3 linked regions of the Mytilus edulis genome follow. The protein of the gene in region 2 binds, or shares a complex with, the protein of the main gene of each other region. Links are inferred from orthologs where the notes say so. Each region holds a gene or a part of one and is shown on either strand. Other genes may lie near its edges. The genes, in order: glucose-induced degradation protein 8 homolog, armadillo repeat-containing protein 8-like and glucose-induced degradation protein 4 homolog.

Evidence for each region.
Region 1: the proteins of armadillo repeat-containing protein 8-like (region 2) and glucose-induced degradation protein 8 homolog are in contact, whole or in part, in a cryo-EM structure (PDB 7NSC), measured with the Homo sapiens proteins. The link is inferred for Mytilus edulis from reciprocal best matches to the Homo sapiens genes ARMC8 and GID8. Residues at the interface, in NP_001350870.1 of Homo sapiens: Asn45, Val47, Ile48, Gly49, Asn50, Val85, Ser89, Met92, Arg127, Arg130, Arg161, Tyr162, Tyr166, Leu200, Ser201, Tyr202; in NP_060366.1 of Homo sapiens: Ile83, Ala84, Asn87, His90, Pro91, Glu92, Leu94, Asp95, Thr96, Tyr101, Tyr183, Glu184, Asn185.
Region 3: the proteins of armadillo repeat-containing protein 8-like (region 2) and glucose-induced degradation protein 4 homolog are in contact, whole or in part, in a cryo-EM structure (PDB 7NSC), measured with the Homo sapiens proteins. The link is inferred for Mytilus edulis from reciprocal best matches to the Homo sapiens genes ARMC8 and GID4. Residues at the interface, in NP_001350870.1 of Homo sapiens: Glu309, Pro310, Asp311, Val312, Asn371, Glu373, Arg406, His409, Arg413, Ser414, Val415, Gln416, Arg419, Thr420, Gln423, Asp424, Val444, Ser448, Cys451, Asn452, Leu455, Phe457, Ala483, Val486, Asn487, Trp490, Met493, Asn494, Phe497, Gln498; in NP_076957.3 of Homo sapiens: Leu104, Ile105, Pro106, Pro107, Pro108, Pro109, Ile110, Gln114, Pro115, Gly116, Val117, Ala118, Thr119, Gly125, Gln146, His147, Tyr154, Cys156, Tyr158, Phe174, Glu176, Phe239, Val241, Pro242, His244, His292, Ser293, Ala294, Pro295, Ile296.

The regions. Positions count from the first base shown.
Region 1 is NC_092350.1:18,419,714-18,427,480, reverse strand, and holds the start of glucose-induced degradation protein 8 homolog, read right to left. Parts: upstream 3,016-7,767; 5' UTR 2,891-3,015; coding exon 2,877-2,890; intron 913-2,876; coding exon 770-912; intron 1-769. UniProt on the Homo sapiens protein: Core component of the CTLH E3 ubiquitin-protein ligase complex that selectively accepts ubiquitin from UBE2H and mediates ubiquitination and subsequent proteasomal degradation of the transcription factor HBP1.
Region 2 is NC_092345.1:44,936,252-44,944,324, forward strand, and holds the start of armadillo repeat-containing protein 8-like, read left to right. Parts: upstream 1-5,033; 5' UTR 5,034-5,117; coding exon 5,118-5,135; intron 5,136-6,613; coding exon 6,614-6,687; intron 6,688-7,581; coding exon 7,582-7,653; intron 7,654-7,682; exon of another isoform or gene 7,683-7,707; intron 7,708-8,073. UniProt on the Homo sapiens protein: Component of the CTLH E3 ubiquitin-protein ligase complex that selectively accepts ubiquitin from UBE2H and mediates ubiquitination and subsequent proteasomal degradation of the transcription factor HBP1.
Region 3 is NC_092352.1:28,227,022-28,234,267, forward strand, and holds the start of glucose-induced degradation protein 4 homolog, read right to left. Parts: upstream 3,022-7,246; 5' UTR 2,995-3,021; coding exon 2,818-2,994; intron 1,187-2,817; coding exon 1,019-1,186; intron 724-1,018; coding exon 622-723; intron 1-621. Other genes in the region: ATP synthase mitochondrial F1 complex assembly factor 2-like, read left to right, coding at 3,080-3,179, 5,245-5,289, 6,173-6,318, 6,687-6,784.

The sequences.
Region 1 (7,767 bases), on a different chromosome or scaffold from region 2:
TTGAAATGTTCATCAGCTTTGGGCACTCCAGCTTCCTTCGTCAATAAAAAATGGCAAACATAAAATAGCACATTCGTACTGAAAGTGGCATTATACACCAATCAAACTATCAATTCACTGCAAGTATTCTTGATATCAAATTATTTCATTGTTTATATGTTCATGTTAGTGTCTTCTATTGACAAGATATATGTGCTTTTTACAACTGATTTTAATTTAACACCATTTAATATATTTGCATTTTATTACATTACTTATCTAAATAAATGGGAAAGATGGAGATCAAATCATTTAAAAAATTCAATCACTGTCATAATTTCCTGCGTCTGTCACTAGTTACGAACTTTAGTCAGTTTTTGCCTCCAATTCTTTCCTAATGATTTTTGTCCTTTTTATAGATAGTTTGGTGGCAACAGAAAATCTTTTACTGAGTCTGTCTTATTTAATTTATTTACAACTTTTTTCAGACTTTCTGCCAATTCATTCTTAACAAATTGGGCAAACATTTGTTTTGTGTAGAAAACCATATGTTAATATAAGCTTGTTTGTGTCTTGGCTTTTTTTGTGTTGTCGATTGTGTCGCATAAAAAATGTTTTAATTCACCACAAGAAAACAAATCAAAAATAAAAATTTGCTTCATGTCATGTACATGTATGCGTACATATATATCTAAATCATTTATGAATAAATGACTAGTAAAATTTCCTCATACTAACAGAAGTCCCTTATACAAAAAAATGTTTCCTTAGCAATACTTTGAGAAGATACCTGTGACTAAATAGTTCATTATAAGTTTATTCATGTCTCCTCTCGTTACTTGTACTCCCTGGAGGCGTTCTAACCATTCATCTTTGGGAATTTCTTCCAGTTTTTCTGCTGCCGCACCGAAATTCATCTTGCGGGTAACATACCTGTATGAATAAAACATATTTTCTATTATTAATGAACAGAAATGTACAAGACACATTAGAAATTATCTACAAATTGTTCATGCATGTTAAAAATTGTAAAATAATTATTGGAAATCATTTCATACCATAACCATTTTGTATCATAACAAAAACCATTTCATATTATAATTATATAACCATTTTTGTACCATATTGGAGGTTATATTAGTATACCATTTTGTACCAAATGGGAGATTATGTATACCATTTTGTACCAAATGGGATATTATGTATACCATTTTTAACCATATGGGAGATTATGATGTAAACCATTTCATACCATATGGAAGATTATAATGTATACCAATTTGTACCATATGGAAGATTATAATGATTACAATTTCATACTGTCGTTTGTTATTTTTAGATATATTCATATTTCAGTACAGAAGGTACATGTAAGTTAAATTTCCTTTTGTGTACAGAAAAATTCTTGTTTGGAGATGAAATGTAAATAATTTTTCCATATCTAGTACAAATCATTTATGTAGTACGAAATGGTAAAAAAAAAATAATAACTACAAAATATTTCATGTTCACGGTGCAAAATGTAGAATTCATGGTACAAAATGGTAATTTTGGGTACAAACATGACGAAATGGCAATGGTACGAAATGAATATGGTACAAAACTACTAGATACCATCATAATAATAATGATTCCTCAGATCATTTTGTTCAATATTACATGTATATCTTTGATATATATTCAAATTTTCAATTATGGTTTTAATAACTAAGAAACACCAGTTTCCAACCTGGGTTCAGGCTCATACAATGTACAGTTGGTGAATGTATATTCTTATAACAAATTGTTATAATACAAGCTGCTGCTAGTAGATATTAATATAAAGTGGTTCTCAAAATGCTGATTCAAATTAATTTCAAAATTGGTGTTGGTACCATTGAAGATTATTTGATAATAACTTTATGATGTTGACGTAAAGAAAGTGTTGCACCCTCTTTTTGTCAAGTAATATTAAAAATAATTAATATATATTTCATGCTCATGATGTTCAGAACAACATGAAAAGTAATGACCAAATCTGAAATGACTGTGCCTGAAATTAATATAACCAAAATGGTACTGTGGCCAAACTGGTTGTGTTGCTGCGACGTCTTGATTGTTTGTTGGTTGCTTAAAGTCCAGTGGGAAATATTTCATGCATGTTGAACTTCAGGACAAGAACAAGTTCACACTAAATACAATTTAGGTAGGTTTTGTAATGGTAGAGGCCATCAGGGTTGATGGTAGTGGAAATTTGGACTGTCACTGGAAAATGAGGGTAAATTGGATAGGGACAGAAATTTTACTTTGCAACAGGCAACCTACGGACCCTTCAAAGATTTGTTGTAAAGGTTCTGAAGGTGCATAGAGCGTGGCACTCTCTCTACGCCAGACATTGGATTTAACATCCCAATTCTGACCCGACGTGGCTGTAGTATCCAGATTAACCCGGGAACTCACATCATGGGTTAATCTGGATACTACAGTGGCAGCAAACTTGATTAATGCTGCACAGCCAAACGGATACTCCAATTTGGCAAGCGTTTTACTGCAGGTCGGGAGAAGACCAAGTGACCATATTTCGTTTCCCCAGTCACCCTGAGAGGTCTTGAAAGCATGTTTTGTATTGAGCCACTCTCATCTTCTGGTTTCCAATGGGTAAATGCGGCATAAGACATTATGCATAGAAGATATACAACCCACTGTTTATTCAAATAATCTTTTCTGAGAAAAAAAAAAATAAAGTTGTTTTTCTTTGGTGCATGCCTTTGACATAAATTCATGTGTTAAATTTATCAGTAGAGCTGATTGGACATAAAGAGTATTATGAATGTTTATGTGTGTTCTTTGGAAAAACAAGAACTGTTAAATTAAATTTACAAAGGGAAAGAAAACAAATCAAAGTATAAAGAAGTCACCAGTTCATGCTCATTGTTTTGAAGAAACCGGAAGTTTACTTCAGAAGCGGAAATAAACAAATATTGGTCTGTTGAACCGGTTTTTGTCGTGACAATCAGGACAAACCCTCATGTCTGTATATAATCCACGTATAAGAGAGCTTGATTGCAATATTTAGGACATGAATACTTAAGAAAACAAGGATTTTAACTTCGTTATTCTTCGCAGTGCTCCGTGACAACGCCTCGGAAAAAACAAGATGGCGCATATTTGTACATAAATTCTGATTGAACTGTCAAATGTGATGTTGACCTGGAAATTTACAGTGATGGAGACAAGTTAATTATATTTAGATTTAAGCCAAAATGGCAGAAAGGTAAAAATTTCAAGACAGAAATTAAGAAAATAGAGAGAAATTAGAAACAAGCATAAAATGAAAATCAGTTTTATTGATCAAGCACCTGCTCTGCAGCTGCAACTAGTTTTAATTGCATATCACAAGATGATACATGTATATTGAAATTAATGTGTCATTATACAAATGCAGACAAGTATTTATTTTCCTTTGTCAACACACTGTGTAACACATTTATAAGAGGTAGTCATCCTCAATCAGTTAGTTGAACTCCCTAGGTTATTGTTGCTGAACCGTTTCAGTGGGTAGGAATGCCCTTTGCCGTCAGTCGTCAAATAGTCACTTGCAGCTTTTTTTTAGCGTAAAATTTGGTTGAAATTTACCATATTCGTCAAAATTTACCTTGATTTGTCAAAATATGCTATTCTTGATTCGTCAAGTCTCTACCGACTCTACATTATGTAGCTAAAACTGTAAAGTGGGTCTCATTGGGGTCTAAGCGTGACAAGGGATTGACAAATGTTTTTTAATTGTGACACGTGAAAGTCAAATTATTGTGCCATGAAAACTGGAAATGAAGTCTAGCGGGACACGGGAAATTACAAAAAAATAAGAATTGCTTAGGTACATAGTGTAAGCGGGATATGGGAATCTGACAAAACAGTAAGCGGGATCCGGGATCAGAACCCCCAAATGAGACCCCCTGTAAACTGGACCCCTGTTGTGTTCACTTATCGCTACACTGACAACAGGTACGGCCTAATTCTGACCACAGGATTTGATATTTCGAATAGACCAGTGCATCATGTACTACATTTGTACATGTGTGTTTATTATCTATGTACTATACTGATAGGAAATCAAATGAAAAATTAGCACGTTTGTAAATTCTTCTGAGTTCTTTTAAAGAGGAGAGAGGATTAATATTCAACAGCATAGTGAATTGCTCAAAAGCAAAAAATAAAAATTAAGTTCATTAGACCACATTCATTCTGTGTCAGAAACCTATGCTGTGTTAACTCTTTATGAATCACAACCCAAATTCAGAGCTGTATCCAGCTTGAATGTTGTGTCCACACTTGCCCTAACCGTTCAGGGTTCGACCTCTGCGGTCATATAAAGCTGCGTCCTGCGGAGCATCTGGTTATATACTCATCAAAATTTTTTCTTCATGAATGTACTAGTACTGTACTCCCATATTCAATACAACCCTCTTTTTAGTTATACAATGTACTTAAACTACATGTAGAACAAATATATAAATTTTTGTATTGGTTCCAAGATCTTAATACTACAATAGTACATGTATTCTAAACTTTTTCAATTACTTGTCCGAAGACCAATATTCTGACATTTTTCTTATACATGTAGGTCCAAACTAAATTTTGCAAAAAACTCACTAGTCCAAATGAAATTTTACTAGTCTGGGGCATCGGACTAGTGGCTAACCGTGCAGACTGAATTCCTAGCGCCACATTTAATTTATTGTCTGCCACACTTATTTTATTGTCTGCCACACTTGAAAATTCAATAGATTGAAGTTAAATTCTGGATATTTCTAATCCAATTATCATGTCAGTGGCAATTAAGAAATATAATTAGTGTTAAATGGTGTGAACACTAGTACTGCCACAAGGGATGTATATTGACAGTTGATTGCATTATTGACATTGTCTTGGGTGGTTGAACAAGGTACATGTAATATTCAATGAATGATCATGACCCAGTTTGATCATTTGTTTACATGTACATTTTTGTATCAAATGGCAGGAAATCATAGAAACTTTCAATTTATTAATTACCTGAGGTACATTCGTAAAAAATGAATATTAAGTCAGTGGTACATGTACATGCAGTTTCATAAGCATTATCAAGTCTCATTCACAATTTCCCATGGAGATTGTATATGGGCCAGCCTTATCATCATGGTTCATTGACTTTAAACTTTTGCATAGTTTACTGTTTAAGAAAAAAGTTTGTTTTTAGGTTACAATAATTAAGGGAACCACTTGTGATTCGTTATTGGTATTTGGTATGCAGTTTTATAAGCTATGGCATTTTTCATTTCCATGGACGTTATAATTTGGTCCTGCTTCTTCAGTCATTGATTCACTTTGAATGTTTTGCATATATATAGTTTACATGTTTTTAAAATATTGACATTGTTATTCCAACATTTGCAATATACTATTAAACTTACAAAAAGCGAGACATATAAAAAGAGGGTGATCTTTTATTCAAATCATGTCCTACTTTACTGATTTTGTTTGTCTGTCTTTCCATTTTACTTTCTGCATGTCTCCACACTTTATCTTAAAGTTAGCCTCATCCAAATTTTATCATACTACATGTAGTACATGTACACAATGCTAAGAATTCGAATGCAACTTGCAGACAGAGTTAAAATTTGGGCAGAGAATCACTTACTATTCTAGAGTTATGCCCCTTTATAACTTGGATAATTGCAAACTTTTTTGTTTCTGCACTAACTTAAGGTTGCCTTATCCCAATTTTATGAAACACACACAATACTAAAAACCACAATGTGCAGACCGAATTTGAATTTGGGCAGTGAGTCATTTTCTGTTCTTCAGTTATGCCCCTTTTTAACTTGAAAAATTTTGAGCAAGGGCAGTTCTGTCCTCAGACACAATTTTAATTTACTTTCCCAATAGTCAATAAGTTTGTATGTACTGATTATGAAAAATGTTTCTTCTTGATGCTGATTAGTTGAATTAACTTCCATGACTTCCAAACAGTATGTAAAATGTATATAGATATAGGATGATGTGGTGTGAGTGCCAATACATGTATGTATTCATTGAGTCATCAAGTCTGGAAATGTTTTAACTTAGTTGAACAGAACAGAGATTTAAAGAAAGACATATTATTGTATGATGCATTTTTATGCAATACATTATAAGAATTTAAATTTAGATTGTATAGACATGCATAAGATGTTTGATAGGCAATTGACTTGCAGTGGCTAAAATTGATATTGATCTGTAATGCTGATGGTTGGAGTAATAGTGTCCATTTTGTGTTGGCTGCAATGGCATTTTATTTACTGCACTGCACCTGTTTTTAACTATATGTATCCAAAATAAAACATTATACAGATTTGTTCAATTAAAAAAAAATCTACTTAATATTTGTCAGATAAAAAAAGAACAGGAAAGAATATCAATGAATTTCTTCCTGGTTTCTAAGCTTTACAAATGCATTTTCTTAACAAAAATAAAAACGATATACAATGTAGGTTTTTTTAAGTATTTTTTTTTCTCAACATTTGAAAGCAAGATTGTTATGGAGCTCATGATTGGATTTTAAATCTTCTTCCCCCCCCCCCACACCTGCTCCCTCAGACTGTGGACTGCTGATTATGATGAGTAGTTTGTTATTGGAATTTAAATCTTTCTCTTTTTTTACAACTGCAAAAAAAAACTTTTGCATCTTATAATGGTATCATGTCGTCATCTGCGTTGTCTGAAGACACATTAAGTTTCCTGACAATAACTTTAGTTTTAGTAAATTTTTACCAGAAGTTTAAATACCACTAAAGGAAGGTTGGGATTAATTTGGGGGATATGGTCCCAATAGTTTAGGAAGAAGGGGCCAAAAAGGGGGCCCAAAATAAGCATTTTTGTAGTTTTCAAACAATAACTTGTGTTTAAGTGTATGAATCTCTCTGAAATTAAACAAGTTTCCATACCATGAAGGGATGGTAAGTAATGAATTTGGGGGGTTATGGCTCAAAATGATTTGGAATAAGGGTCTAAAAAAGGGAAATTAGGGGCAAAAAAGGGGAAAAACTAGGTTTTCCAGACAATTACTTTAGATTTAGTGAATGGATCTCTATAAATTTTTTTCAAGAAGGTTCAATACCACTAACACTAAAGGAAGGTTGGGATAGATTTTGGGGGTTATGGTCCCAATAGTTGAACAATTAGGGGCCAAAAATAAGCATTTTTGTAGTTTTCAAACAATAACTTGTTGTTAAGTGTATGAATCTCTCTGGAATTATACCACAAGTTTCCATACCATTAAGGGGTGGGTAGTAATGACTTTGGGGGTTATGGTTCAAAATGTTTTGGAATTAGGGGCTACAAAACACTACTTGTAAATAATGTACAAAGAAATGTCAGGTTTTGGACTTCTTGCAAAAATTTTTGAAAAGTTTGAAGAAGAAATCTGTAATTGCACAATATTGCATAAAAGATTTGTAAGATCTTGACATTTGTTTTGTGTCAGAAACTCATATTATGTCAAGAATTTGATCACAATCCAAATTCAGAGCTGTATCAAGCTTGAATGTTGTGTCCATACTTGCCCGAACTGTTCAGGGTTCGACCTCTGCGGTCGTATAAAGCTGCGCCCTGCGAAGCACCTGGTTCTTTGATGACTTTAAGTGATTTAAAACTTCTTGTTTGAAACCTATCAAAATAACAGAAATTTTAGTAGAATTTATTAGTCCAGTAAAATTAGAAATGGTTAAAAAATTAAGAATGTATATAAAAGGTGTCTGATTTGCTTGTGAAGAGGTTTGGAGAATCTTT
Region 2 (8,073 bases):
TAAAAAACAAACATATATTAATTTAAAAAAAGGTATAAACAATTAAATCAATTTCTAAAGGGACTTATCATTTTTAACCTGGGAGGGGGGCTGGTCATTTTGAATTCAAACATATAAAATTTCTTGATCCCTCATAATATTTCACAATTTTCATTTAATCCCCCTAGTAAAACTGACATACGGCCTTTTCCATCAATATTGCAAGTCAGTGCTTTTAGTAGTTTTTTCTGACTTTTTTTTCTAAATTCCTATATTGTGCTAAAAAAGAAAACTTGATCCTAAGCAACTCACACAATAACTTTTAGAAACCGGCAGTAACAATACATTATTTATTTAGAGGAATCTATTATATGAATGCTGCTTAATTAAGCTTTACGTAAGGCCTTATTGAAACCTCAATTGAGTCGCTAAACTTTTATATGCAATTTAAAAAAAAAAAAAACTTCTAGAAAATATCATTTTTTTGTAGTTTGAAAAATAAAAAAAACTCGACCAGGAGTTGTCTACCATAAGCATAAGTCTAGGGAACTGGGGTAAGGGGACACATTAAGCGTATACAGTATACACACGTTTCGGTTCGCTGGGACATGTATGATATATTAAGAATTATAATTTATAGTTTAGCTAGCTATAAAACCAGGTTCAATCCCCCATTTTCTACATAAGAAAATGCCTGTACCAAGTCAGGAATATGACAGTTGTTTTCAATTCGTTTGATGTGTTTGAACTTTTGATTTTACCATTTGATTGGGGACTTTCCTTTTTGAATTTTCCTTGAAGTTCATTTTTTTTGTGATTTTACTTTTTTCTCCAAGTCACAGTTTCTTCCAAAATTACTGAATGATCGATGTGTCAATGACAATGTTGATTATCCAACATATTACTTTGTTTAAATTAGTATTACGTACATGGGGGAAAATATACTTGCCTCCCCGTGCCGCTAAAGTTATATTTGCTTAAGAGCATAAAAAACCACATCTATTTCCATAGCTACGACCATACAATAAAGATACATATAACATCCCCCAAAAAGAAAATTTCCCAAATTTTATCAAAATGGTGTATGTGTTTTATCCATATAAAAATTGCACTATAATAAATTCAAACTATATAATCACTTCCGTATATTAAGACTCAATCAGTTTCCAACTAATCTTTGTAAATACATTTGTATCAACTGAAATATTCTGGCTGACCAGTTCTCAATCTAGCATCGTATACATGTGCCGACATTTTTGTTTAAATGTACTTTAATCACTCTAATCATTCTAATAATCATTTACTGGGCTTTATTTTGTCAGTCATGCATCGTTGACAATGTAATGGAATTTGATGCGACTGTCATACAAGTGAGAGGTTTAGCTAGCTATAAAACCAGGTTCAATCCACCATTTTCTACATTAGAAAATGCCTGTACCAAGTCAGGAATATGACAGTTGTTATCCATTCGTTTGATGTGTTTGGACTTTTGATTTTGCCTTTTGATTTTTGATTTTCCTTTTTGAATTTTCCTCGGAGTTCAGTATTTTTGTGTTTTTACTTTTTTTGATTGTGTAGCTCAAATTTTGGGCGCAATGTATATTGATTGGTGGAAAAAAATACCTGTACAAGATATGAAAAAAATAAACGATTTTTTTATTCAATCATTGATAACAGTTCAATTTTGTTATAATAAGTAAAGAAACATCGCTGATAAATGGTTCGCTTGCAATTGAATTATTATTACATGGGTTTGATAGATATAGGAAGATTTGAGTGACAACTCTCCATCCAAGACATACTTTATAAAAGTAAACCATTAATTATAGGTCAATGTAAGGTCTTCAACACGGAGCCTGGGCTCACACCGAACAGCAAGCTATAAAGGGCCCCAAAAATTACTAGTGTAAACCCATTAAAACGGAACAGCCGAGAAATCGGTATATAACAGAATTTCGTCACCGTCCGGCAATTTTCTAAATCGGAAGTTAAGTACTTAATTGTGTTATATAAAGGAATATACGGTAGGGAAAACAAATTCTGAGACGAGTGCCTGTGATCAAATATAAGAATTTGAGTCACTCAAATCGATGAACATGAATTGTCAGTTTATGCCCCTATAAGGGTTACGTAACTAAGAAAGAATAAAATATAAAATTGAGAATGGAAATGGGGAATGTGCCAAAGAGACAACAGCCCGACCATATAGCTGACAACAGCAGAAGGTCACCAACAGGTCTGCAATGCAACGAGAAATTCTCGCACCCGGAGGCGTCCTTCAGCTGGCCCCTAAACAAATATATACTGGTTCAGTGATAATGAACACCATACTAAACTCCAAATTGTACACAAGAATTATCAATTCATAACATATATGAGAAGAACATAACCCGTGTCATGCCAACAACTGGTTTAAAATAATAAATGTGTTTATATTCCGGACCATATGAGTATTTGGACCATACGCGTATGGTCATGACCATATGCGTATACTCATATGGTCCGACCGTACGCGTATGGTCGGACCATATGAGTATATACTCGTTTTGTTATAAACGGGCCGGACCATATGAGTATTAGGACAATATAGGTATATTTTTCAATAATATGCACGAGAAAACTTTATAAAATAACAATGATTGCTACATGCAATTGTATTATTTACAATTCAAATAACATTAAATATTGATGCCAAAGTTAGTTTTCATCACTAATTGTATTCTTGCATGGATGCGTAGGGTGACATTTACGTCCACACGGCACCATAGCTTTTCTTGGGTCCGGGGTCATTCCGATGTGTCTACGGTGAAAAAGCTCTACTAGATCTTCAATATCGCAACATGACTGAAGTACATCATATCACCAGACAACTTTAAAAAATGAACTAGTGTCGACATTTTGTCATTCACTCGTAATAGCATATCGGTAATGAAAAAAAAATGTGTGTTTACTATAGTTTAGTGATGAAATTTGCTGTGTGAAACTGCTCATTTTATTTTGTTAATCTTGTTATTACTAATTTTTAATGAAAAAAATACCTTTAGTAGTGTCTTTTTAGTGACGTGACAACTAGAAGGGTTATATAAAGAGGTAAGCATAAATATACCGCGACCATACGCGTATGGTCACACCATATGAGTATATACCCATATGGTCATGACCATACGCGTATGGTCCAAATATTCATATGGTCCGGAACATTTATATAGTTCACAGTTGTTATAGTAGTCTCAGCATAAGTGAATCAATATCAACGCCAAAATATGCAATCTTTAATGACCTGAGAACAGTATCGTAACTATACCCCTTCTTAATAAGTCTATTTAAAGGTTTTGTTATCTTCTGAGGTGAATACTGACATTTTTGTGCTTTATAAAAGAATATTTCCATAAAATATTGGATGTGAAATACCTGAACGTATAAGAAGTCTACATGTTGAGCTATATTTACTATTGATGTCCTTACTGGTACCGATGATAAAATTAAGTAAATGTTTTAACTAGTTTGTGATATCGTATTTATCAAGGACTTGTTATCATTATACAAATCGTTGGATGTATTGAGACAGGCAACATCAAGGCGGTAGTTAATTATTATACTGCAGATGACAATATGTTACAGTCAGATGGTGTTCTGAACTGTGCTTTGAAAAAAAAGCGATTTTAAAGCAAATACTAAGACAGTTTTGCAGCAAAGTGTATGATTTTATACATGCAAAATAATTAAGTTTTCTGTCATAACCAGATTTTTCTTATTAATACAGATAAGAATGATTCCACTGAATTATTTGAAATGGCTAATAACTTAACTTAGAATTGAAATGTCACACTAAAGACATGTAGTATATTGTTTTATATATCTCTGGTAATACCAAGTGTTTACATTGTAAAATATAGGCATATTACGACTGGTACTGTGTGACATAACCGTTAAATCCTTAATTAAGAAATAATTCATGGAAGCCATAGATTGTTGGAAATTTACACATGGCCTGGGCCGTGATATTCGAATTTTATCCTGAGCGTTAGCGAGGGATAAAATTAACGAATATCACGGCCCAGGCCATGTGTAAATTTCCAACAATCTATGGCTTCCATGAATTATTTCGATTCTAATAGGACAAATACGGTCATTAAAAAACTGTAGCGATGGTAGGTATGCTGTGTGTGTGGCTGTTCTTTTTTTACTCCCGGTTCGATAAAGCTCAAATATTCATAAAATCTGTAGCTTGCATTGATTGTTTAGTGAATTACCGCTAGAAAAAAAATCTGTTTAATTCTTTAAATTCACAAACCCAACATTTGCCATTTTTAATTTACATGTTTTTCTCGTAAGCTACCGTCAAATCCAAAGTTGACATTTTGTAACTAAGGAGCCGCCATGTTGACTTGCTGAAATCAGTAAATATGCGAAAAATGCAATAGAATAGAAAATAAAACAAAACCTACCTTACAAATCAATTTTAATACAATATTATACGAATTTCGATGGTTCACTTTTCAGAAAACGTTCAACTGTAGCGTTTTCATTTGTATGACGTCATGTTTTGAAATGACTTAAATGCGTCAAAAACATTAAAAGACTTTCGCGGAATTTTATTTTATTTTTATTTTGTTGATTTCTCCGAGCTCTTGTGCATTATTTCTTTTTATTATGCATCCGAATTAGAATAAGTTATTTTGTCTTTTTTAACTGCAATTTAAAAAAAAAATAATCGGCAAATGGTTTACAAATAGGTTCCAATACATGTGGATTTACGTGGGAAATATATTGTAACAGCCATTATTATGTATATCTCTGAGTCTGCGCTAAGTATAGATATATGGAGAATTTTATCACGGTGTTGTTTAGAAAGCGAAAGAAGCACGTCATATTAGAATTGCATATGAAGTAAGAAAAACTTTGCCTCTTTGAATTTCATCTACAATAACTTAAAAAAAAGTGTGTCGTCTCGTTTGATTTATTTTTATGTAACAGAATGTAAAAGGTGAATTTTCGCATATACTACAGAAATTAATGGTATATTAAAATTAGGGGCGAAACTACCATATAACTTACGAAGGATTTCGCCGGTCACAATAAATCGAGTTCAGCCGATCATAGCTAAACTGTTTTGATTTTGCTGAAAACATAACAGAATGATTCAAACAGCTATGGTATACTTCTATCATGACCTTTATTTTTATCTATATAACTGAAGAAACGATTAAAAACCAACATATTCTTCGCTGATCTTTCAGAAATCAAATGAGTGCACTATAAAAATATTGTTTTCTGTTGAAAAAAAAACCAGTATTTATTTATAATTATACATAAAATATAATTGATTACAGTCAACGGTGGTGTAGCCAAATGCACATCTGTTCTTCTGGTATAAGTGCAACTGGTTGACTATTCTGCTACAAGTTTGGAGTGAGCAAACGAATTAATATTTAAACAAAAATGAGAAAAAATCATATTTGCACCTGTACATGTACATGTTCATGATGTTGCAAGTAAAAATATATCATTTAGATTTAACATATTTATTAATTTAATGTCAGCATGTAAAGCCATGAAAGAAGGTTAAGGCACATAAGGTGGTCCACTGATCTTTTTAGTATAAAATGACCAGAGAAAAGACCCCTTCTATACACTTGTTTTGCATGAGGGAATTCTAAATGCCTCTTTGTTGTTATTTCTGGTAGGCCTGTCATTTAATGTCAGCTTACAACATGTATTAATTTTGACATCGTTGTTTTGAAGTCTATGTATACATCATTATCACATATTTGTTACGAATACGTTGGGTTTTGCATATATGTAATAACCTCAAAATAACCTGGGGCAAAAAAGAGGTTATTGGTTATTGTGCCCTGGTTCTAAATAATGTGACGTCATTGCATTCTTAACGACACTTTTATGATAAAATTTGTAAGATTTTACCTATTATGTTTCGTTAAATTGTTATAATTGAATTTTTTTTTCTCTTTTCTGCAGAATTTTTAAATAGATTATAACATGCCTTTTCCATATTGGCCCTGGTATCATCCCTCGACCTATATCGGCCCTCGGCTAAAGCTTTGAGGCCAATATGGAAAAAGGCATGTTATACTCTATACTTATTTACCCCTTTGCCGCTGGAGGGACATATGTTTGTTCGTATCATTGCTTTATATATCTCTAGAAAATTAAATACTGGATTCAAAGATAAAATCATTTGACATGTTTGATGATTTCTTCAGTGTGTACCCAATGTCACATAATTTTATAATATATATGAATCATGACAAATGAAATTACTGCACAGAATCATAATCCATTAATGTACATCCATGTACAAACTGTAGCTTTCATATGGGATATAAATTACAACAACAAAAAATCATGTTTTGAAAAAAAAAATACAAAAGTGCCTTCAATAAGATAAAAGGCAATAAATCATGTTCTAATTAGTAACTTCTGATAACCTGAATTTCTTACAAGATTGATTCATCACAAAATCAAGCTTTTTAGATGGTGCAATTTAATATTTTTTAGAATGTTTTAATACCGTAATTACAATCACTGCAGGATAACTTAGCCTTAAACAAACTGGTGTAAGCAAACTAGAACTACAAACACTGTCCAAATAAATAAATTGAATTTGTTGTAGGAAGTAGATTCTGGATGGGAATGTGTGAATATCATTCTGGCAGACGAACAAGATAAATGGATGGAATCAATTGTGTGAGTATAATGTGATACATGTAGCTGTGTGTTTATTTACCACTTACCCACATTTATGACATTCCCAATTAGAATATAAACACCTTTGATGCAAATGTTTTGAAGCTGAGGTAATTTATACATTGATATTGATCACAAAATATGTTTTATTGTGGTAGCTTTATGTCCCATTGTGGATGAACAGAATATAGTTAAAACTAAACTGATCATGATATGTCACAAAAAAGGAATTTATTATTATGTCAGTATGTGAAACATTGTTAAATAGCCTTTCGACAAAAATCGTTGAAAGGCTATTTAACAATGTTTAACAAAACTAAGTCCATTTTTCTGTAAATGGACTTAGTTTTTTTGTTAGAAACAAAACATTCACTCTGTGGTTTAAGTTTTTAAAATTTTTATAATGTTCTTAAACTATCCTGGATTTCTACCAAACTTAGACAAAAGCTTGTTTCTGATCATAAGATATTGTTCAGAAGTAAATTTTGTAAAAAAAAATTAACTTTTTCCGTATTTTACTTATAAATGGACTTAGTTTTTCTTCAAGTTAACATTACATACAGTCTGCAGTTAAAGTTTATAAAACATTTATTAGATTCATAAACTATCCTGGATTTTTTTACCAAACTTTGAAGCTTCTTTCAATCAAAAGACAGTATCGAGAGGGAAATTTTTATTGATGTTTTTCCTAATTTTTGTTGAGTCTGCGATTAACAGCAAAAGTAGGCGAGACACTGGGTTCCGTGGAACCCTTACGAATTTTTTTATAATTGTACCTGGTGTATGTCAAAAAGATATTTTAATTGTGGAGGGGACAAACAGATTTTTTTTCAATCAGAAACAACTGCAAGAATTATTATGTTTTCATTATATTTTTTTGCCTTTTTTCAACAGACATGTAAAGAACTCTGTGATTGGCAACAATAAACACAAGAATTTAGCTGTCCAACAGGGAATTATACCTAGGTAAGTCATATTTTCAAAACCTTATTTAGCTGTCCAACAGGGAATTATACCTAGGTAAGTCATATTTTCAAAACCTTATCTTATCAAGACTTTCAACATAAAGTTCAGGTTTACTTGAAATTATTCTATGGTTGAGTCACTAAGAAATCTCAAATATAAATCACTTTCCTATCATAATACATGCAGTGTCCCCATAATTTTGAATGCTAGGAGGAACAACTCTTACAAATGATTCAACAAATTAGAGACAACCCCTGGCATTATAAAACAAATGAAAGTTCCAAAAATGTAAATTTAATAAAATTTGAAAATATTTTATTTTTTATTTTTTTCATGCCCCATTTATGGGCATTATGTTTTTTAGTCGTTTATCCATTCGTTTGTTTGTCTGTCGCACGTCTGTCTTCCAGCTTCAGGTTT
Region 3 (7,246 bases), on a different chromosome or scaffold from region 2:
ATATGTTATGATGGTATGATACTAAACCCCTAATGGGAAGGATTGTGCTTGATATACATATGATGAAATCATAATCTTCCAATCAGTTTAATTGTAGTCTGGAGCTGGCATGTCAGTTAACTGCTAGTAGTCTGTTGTTATTTATGTATTATTGTCATTTTGTTTATTTTCTTTGGTTACATCTTCTGACATCAGACTCGGACTTCTCTTGAACTGAATTTTAATGTGTGTACTGTTATGCGTTTACTTTTCTACATTGGCTAGAGGTATAGGGGGAGGGTTGAGATCTCATTAACATGTTTAACCCTGCCACATTTTTGCGCCTGTCCCAAGACAGGAGCCTCTTGCCTTTGTTAGTCTTGTATTATTTTTAATTATAGTTGCTTGTGTACAATTTGGAGTTTAGTATGGTGTTCATTATCACTAAACTAGTATATTTTTGTTTAGGGGCCAGCTGAAGGAAGCCTCCGGGTGCGGGAATTTCTCGCTACATTGAGGACCTTTTGGTGACCTTCTGTTGTTGTCTTTTCGATGGTTGGGTTGATGTCTCTTTGACACATTCCCCATTTCCATTCTCAATTTAATTGTTTTATAAACTCAACATAATGTTAAGAAGCTTACCTTCCATCTCATAAATACAAAATCTGTGTTGTTTAATTCTTCATAATCAAAAGAATCAGAGTTAAAATTCTTGGCAAATGGATAAAAAGATAAAAACTTCCCCTGAAAGTATTAAAAATATTACATGATTATGATATGAGAAGAATAAAAATATGTTAAGAAATAGTAGATGCTGGAATGATATTATCATTTGTTTCAAATAATTACTGATAGAAAGGAAGTTTGAAAATGTTTTTAAAAATTACGAAAAATATTGGATTTTTCAATTCATTTATTTAAATAAAAAAATATAAAAGATAACAAGGGCAAACAATTGTGAACAGCATATGCATATTGCACATTGATGCATGCAAAGCTTTTTGTTCATTAAAAGTCATTATATTAATTAATTTATTACCCAATGTTTTCTGTCTACTTCTTCATCAGCCTCCCATTTCCTGGTAAGAAATGGATGTTTCTTACTGATTATCTCCCCTTCAAAGAATGTTGTCAATGTTGGGTATTCCTCTGTTAGGCCGTTTATCTTCAAATAACCACAGAGATAAGAATTGTCCATATCAACATACTGAAAAGAAAAAATAATGTTAAATATAAGGCTACATTAATAGGATTAAATTTATGTTGTATTTTTGGTTAATTTATGTTGTATTTTAATTAGGTTAAATTTGTGTTGTATTTTTGGTTAAATTTATGTAGTATTTTTGGTTACTCTCTATTTAAAAGCTTTTCCAATGCCTAAAACTTATCAAGTTGTATTTTCTTTTTTTAAAGCTCAGGCAAATTAACTTAAGTGTTAATGGTCCTGGTGCCTGCAGTTCTGGCATTAAAATTGATTTCGTAATTTATATCACATTTTTCCCCAATTTTTGTTTTTGTGAATCTTTTGGCAAATGTGGCTGTGTATGAACCTAATTTTTTTTAGTACAGACAATCTGAAAAGCTGGGGAAAATTATGGCATGGACTCTAGATAACCATGGTTTAAATACATTTTATGTTTAAGAAAATCAAAAATTTGATTTTAAAGTGATTTTTTGAAGTCCAGACTCCTATAGAAGATGCCATGAAATAAAATAAATTTGGATGTTTTTCAGATTTGGAAATCGCTATACATATAAAAGTTCAATTTTGCATATTAAGAATTATCTCCCTTTAAAAAATTTGAATGAAATTTTAATTTCTCACATATCATAATTTGGTAGAGAAATTCCATACTAACTTTGCAGACATGGCAAATGAAATAATTAAATACTTTTGTGTAAACATTTGCCCTAAGATAAGTTTTAAAAATTATTTCAAAAATTATATAGAAGTACTTCTTAGAACTTTATGTTGGCAAACTTTTTGTTTTCAATTCCAAATCAAAATTTTCAAAAGAAGAACATTTGTACAGCCTATTGTGCATGCCCCATAATATATTTAAGCTCAAACTTTGACTTACAATGTACAAAACCTAATACTTGTCTATATAAACCTTTGGTGAGCCTTTATGTGGTTTGCAAATGAAATGAATTCTAGCTTAAAAAAATAGAATGTGTTATATTTGTATCAACTAAATCAGGCTTTAAAAGTCATTTCCCTTTGGAAATGCACTTCCAGACAACAGCTGGGAAGCACACATTTCATAATAAAAATTGCCATGGGAGATAACTCTGCAATTTAAGTTTCTGTTGTATTATTGAGTTTATATGTGATAGCCAGATCAAGCAATAAATAATGCATCTCATATGAACAGAACCTGATTATGATAATAAGCTAAAGTTTTAAAAATATTGATATTTGTTTTTTTTTAACTGTAGTAGGCACAACGGCCAGAATGGTATAATTTATTTGGTGCAAAAATTTTCTGAAAAAGAACTAGTGAGAGCCCTAGTCCTAACAATTATGACGTCTTGTCTTAACTTTAACTTTGATGTGATGAATGCCAGAATGGCTTTTTAAAAGTATTTTATTTTTTTACTATGACATGCATATGTCTTGAAAGGCTACATACATGTATTTAAATTTCTTGCTGGACCTCTTCAATTCAGCTCCCTGTTGATGGCTGTACCTTGACCTTAAAAGGTAAACTTTTTACTTATTCTGACTAGGATGGAGAATTGTCTCATTGGCACTCATACCACATCTTATAAGTTCTTAAATATCTAGAAACTGAGAATGGATTTACAGTAGAAATCATTTACTATTATTTTCAATACCTGTAAAATAACTTCTACATCATAGCAATTGCCTTTGCTTTTTTGGTGTCCCTGAAACCTTGATCCATTGTACAATAGACTGGTGGTTATTCCAGGGAGGTTGCTATTCGCAGGAGGTGGTGGGTCAAGCTTTACCGGCATTGTTTTGGCATTCCTGTAAATTGTCAAAATGGACATTTCTTTTGACACCGGTGATTGGTCGGATTATTGTTTCCGGATTTTTTCAACCAATCACAGAAAGTTTAACATATTCGTTTAAAAAATGGCTGCGCCCATGAGAATTTATCATTCAGCTGTCAAAAGTTTCTTAAATGTATCAAATTCACATTGCACTTGTTCTGTGAGAAGATTCAACCCAAGAGGCATGTACATTTCAATGTCAAACAACACTAACCATATGAAATCACAATCCAAATAACAAAATTAGCTTCCCCCTTTTTAGAAAATCAATGTTAAAAACTGATATTGTTAGTACTATCTGTTTTCTTTTTATGCATTATAATTACATTTGTTCTAAGAGGCTTAGGGCATCAGTAGTTTGAATTACGTTACATTGAGAACATGTTTATTTACGTACGGTTAGCATTCCAATGGGAACCAAATGAGCTCCTGAGCCTCCTCTTTGTTTCAAATCAATCTCTGGCCCATACCAAACCAGGTTGATATGGCCAATTTCTACAAGTAAAATAGGGTTAACAAGCTTTAAGAAAAAAATCCTTTGTAAATGTTTAAATGAAGGTCATCGGAAATTTTGACATTTAATTTATTCATATGTTATTAATACTAAGTTACAATGTACTAAGAAAACATTTTAAGGCTCGGTGGCAGTCTTATTGTATCACTAGCCTGTCAATTGTGTGAGTTAAAATCTGGAATGTGGCAGGTGAACTTGACTTCAATCTAAATTAACTAGGATTGTCAGCTTTCTAATCCAAGGTCATGGTTTTTTCTTTAGGCACTCTGGCTACCTCTACCAATAAAGACCGACCCCCATGAAGTAAAACGTTAGTGCTGAAAGTTGTGTTAAACACCAAACAATCAATGAATCCACTATAGACCACTTTGAAATGACAAAATGGATGAAGTCTAGGCAAAACCTGTATGCATCAGCAAATTATGAAAATTTGTATTGTTTAATTGACCAGTTATCATGGTTATCTTTCATTGTTTTTGTAAAGCCTGTGACTTTTGTCACATGGTTCATTGGTCAAAGTTAAGTTTTTAAGTTTTGGTCTTTTTCTTATACTATATGCAATAGCTATAAGTCAACTATATTTGGTGCATAGAAATATTTTATGTTGTATATGTCAGTCTCGCTGGTTTTATTTTACCTTGACCTCATTTTCACGGTTCATTGCTAAGTGTTAAGTTTTGTGTTTTGGTCTTTTTTTGTTAAACTATAAGCAATAGGTCAGGTATATTTGTTGTATGGAAGAATTGTGAGCTGTACATGTCTGCCTGGCATGGTTCATCTAACCTTGACCTCATTTTCATGGTTTATTATATAAATAATACATAGCCATGATAGCTGAAAGGGTGATAGAGCAGATTGTTACCCCATGAAAACATTGTCAACCATGGCGAAGCATGTGATAGAGAAAATTAACACCCAATCAAAATATGGCATTTTAACGTGAAGTACAAATGTATAATAATAGTCAATGTTTAGTTTACATGGTAAAGTCTGTTTCTTAGAAACTGTAAGCAATAGGTCAACTATATTTAGTGTATTCAATGATTGTAGTAAAGCTTTATATTTAGGACTAGCAACATAGTATCAATGATTAGTAAAGAACTTTAAGAAGGCGAGACATTTCAGCATGTGCACTCTTGTTAATAAAGAGATGCAAGTAAAAAATGTAATGTTTGCATGAGATTAAGGTTTTTGAAAAATCCAATGAAACATAAATTGTTATGATGACTATACAGCGGGGTGAGCCATAGGATAGACTACATGTAGTAAGATAAATGACATGGAATTTGCTGATTATCCTTGTTTTATAATACATGTAATAGTATTTACAAACAAAAATCATGACCAACAGGTGTTCAGGTCATCAATGTGACAGGAAAATTGTATTTAAAATACTTTCTTTTTTTTATACTTTTTTTCTCCAAAATTTTTATAGTAATAAAATATCATATTAAAAATAAAATATTTTGGCTTTGATGTGATATGTATATTTTATTTATAGTCTAGCTGTTAGAGTAATTAATTTCTATGCACAGTAGCAAGTTATCTTGGATTGAGAAAAAAATGTGCATTGATGGATGTTTCATTTCAAAGATTTGCCACAGTCTGTATTCATGTCACTAGAAAATTTACACTTCGTTAAAAACTTTAGCCTTCAACATCCACAAAAATGTGTATGTACCATAGGTACAGTATGTGCAGCATTAACAACAGTTTTCTTTTTTTCTTTTTAGAGTTAAAGAAATTTTACAAGAATGCAACTATAACTCAGACAAATGGTATGAATAATAATTGAAAGTGGAAATAGTTTTGCGTTATTGTTCAAAAACAATTTGAATAAATAGATGTTTCCATTACAGTGATTACCTACTGTAATATAAAAATGTCTTGTAAGGGTAAAATTAAAATGTCAAAATCTTATACATAAATAAAAATAAGAAGATGTGGTATGATTATTAATAAGACACTTCTCCACCAGAGATCAAAATTAAATGACATAAAAGTTTACAACAATAGGTCACAGTATGGCATTCAGCAATGAGCAAAACCTATATACAGTCAGTAATTAAAGGCCCTGAAATGACAAATGTAAAACTATTCAAACGAGAAAACTAACAGCCTGATTTATGTACAAAACAATGAATGAAAAACAAATATGATATACAGCATCAAAAGATAACCACTACATTACAAGATCTTGACTTTGGACAGGGTGAATATGTAAGTATTTTCAATATATATATATGAAGGCTTCATATATATTGAAAATACTTACATATTCACAAGATCAGATGCATCAACACTTTAAATGTTTGTGATCATTATGTATTACAGTGATAATTATTTGACATATAATTTTTGAATTTCTAAAGCAACTCAGAAATACTTAGCAGATATATGACTGTAGACAAATTGTTGTTGACTATTTACTGGATTTAAATGTTAATGCTCTACATCATTTATCAATCGAAGTCTGTTTATTTTGAACTTAACAGCTAAATGAGTTTGCCAAACCTAAATAACACAACTTAGCAAATGGGAAATAATGATTTTGTGATTTTTTTGTAAAAACTATTACTCCCTACATGGTCATTTCACTGTACTAAATGTATTAAGTTTTGCCTTCATACTAATGATAATTTTTGGTTGCTTGTTTTCTAGGCTGGTTTGAAATAAATTTAGACCAGAAAAAATTGAAGACACCAAATGGAAAGGTTTTCAAAGTTCCAAATGAGGCACTGGCTTTAGCTGTAGCTACAGAATGGAATATGCAACACAAAATAGTCAAGAGACATTATATGCATTTAGTAAGAGCACATACATAAGTATTGAAGCCATAGATAATTTTTTCACAATTAACATGTAAATACTGACTGTTGTTAAAGTTTGTTACATACAAAAATGTATCAATTTTGTTGTCAATCCTTTATAGAATTTATTAGACTTTAGCAATTTTTTTTTATGATTAAGAGATAATGTCCCAAGCAAAATTGTGATAATATATTTGTACAAATTTTTCAGTGTTGATCACTATTTTTTTATGGATGTGATATAAAAACAGTGGAGTAACTCCAGATTATCTGATTTTTTTTCAATTTTAGATAAGGCTCACTTTAGATTGGGCAGTATATTTCAATACTGAGCCACATTTGAAACTTTGTTCTGTTTATTTCAGACATCACTGTGCAATACAGCATTGGATAACCCTACATATAAATCAAGAGAAGATTTAGTACGGAGTACATTACATTATGCAGAGACAGACACGCTATGGTATGTTATATGTTTAATTATAAAGACCATTATGAAAATCTCTAGAATAAATCTCAATGTAATTCTCTAAATACATGTATATAAATAAAAAAATGTTTGTCTTGGATATGTAAGTGTACCTACTGTCTGTACTGAATGAGTTGTTGCATACTTTCGGGTAATCTGTATGGATTTTTTAATTGATAGTTAATCCTGTTAGATATGTTAAATTTTCGAAATCCAGTCATGACTGATTCTTAAAGGCTCATGACTGAAATTATTTTTGGATTAAGTTGAGAGATCTAGCATAATTAAAGGCCATTTGTAAGAAATTGCATTATTTTGTTACTGTTAACTAAGTCCGTATTGCAATTCTCTTCCTGTAAGAAAAACTGCCACTTGTCTTGGTATTGTATCCACAGGGCCCTACAAGTTTCTGTTACATACCCCTGAAATATCAGGTTAATGCATGGTTATTATGTT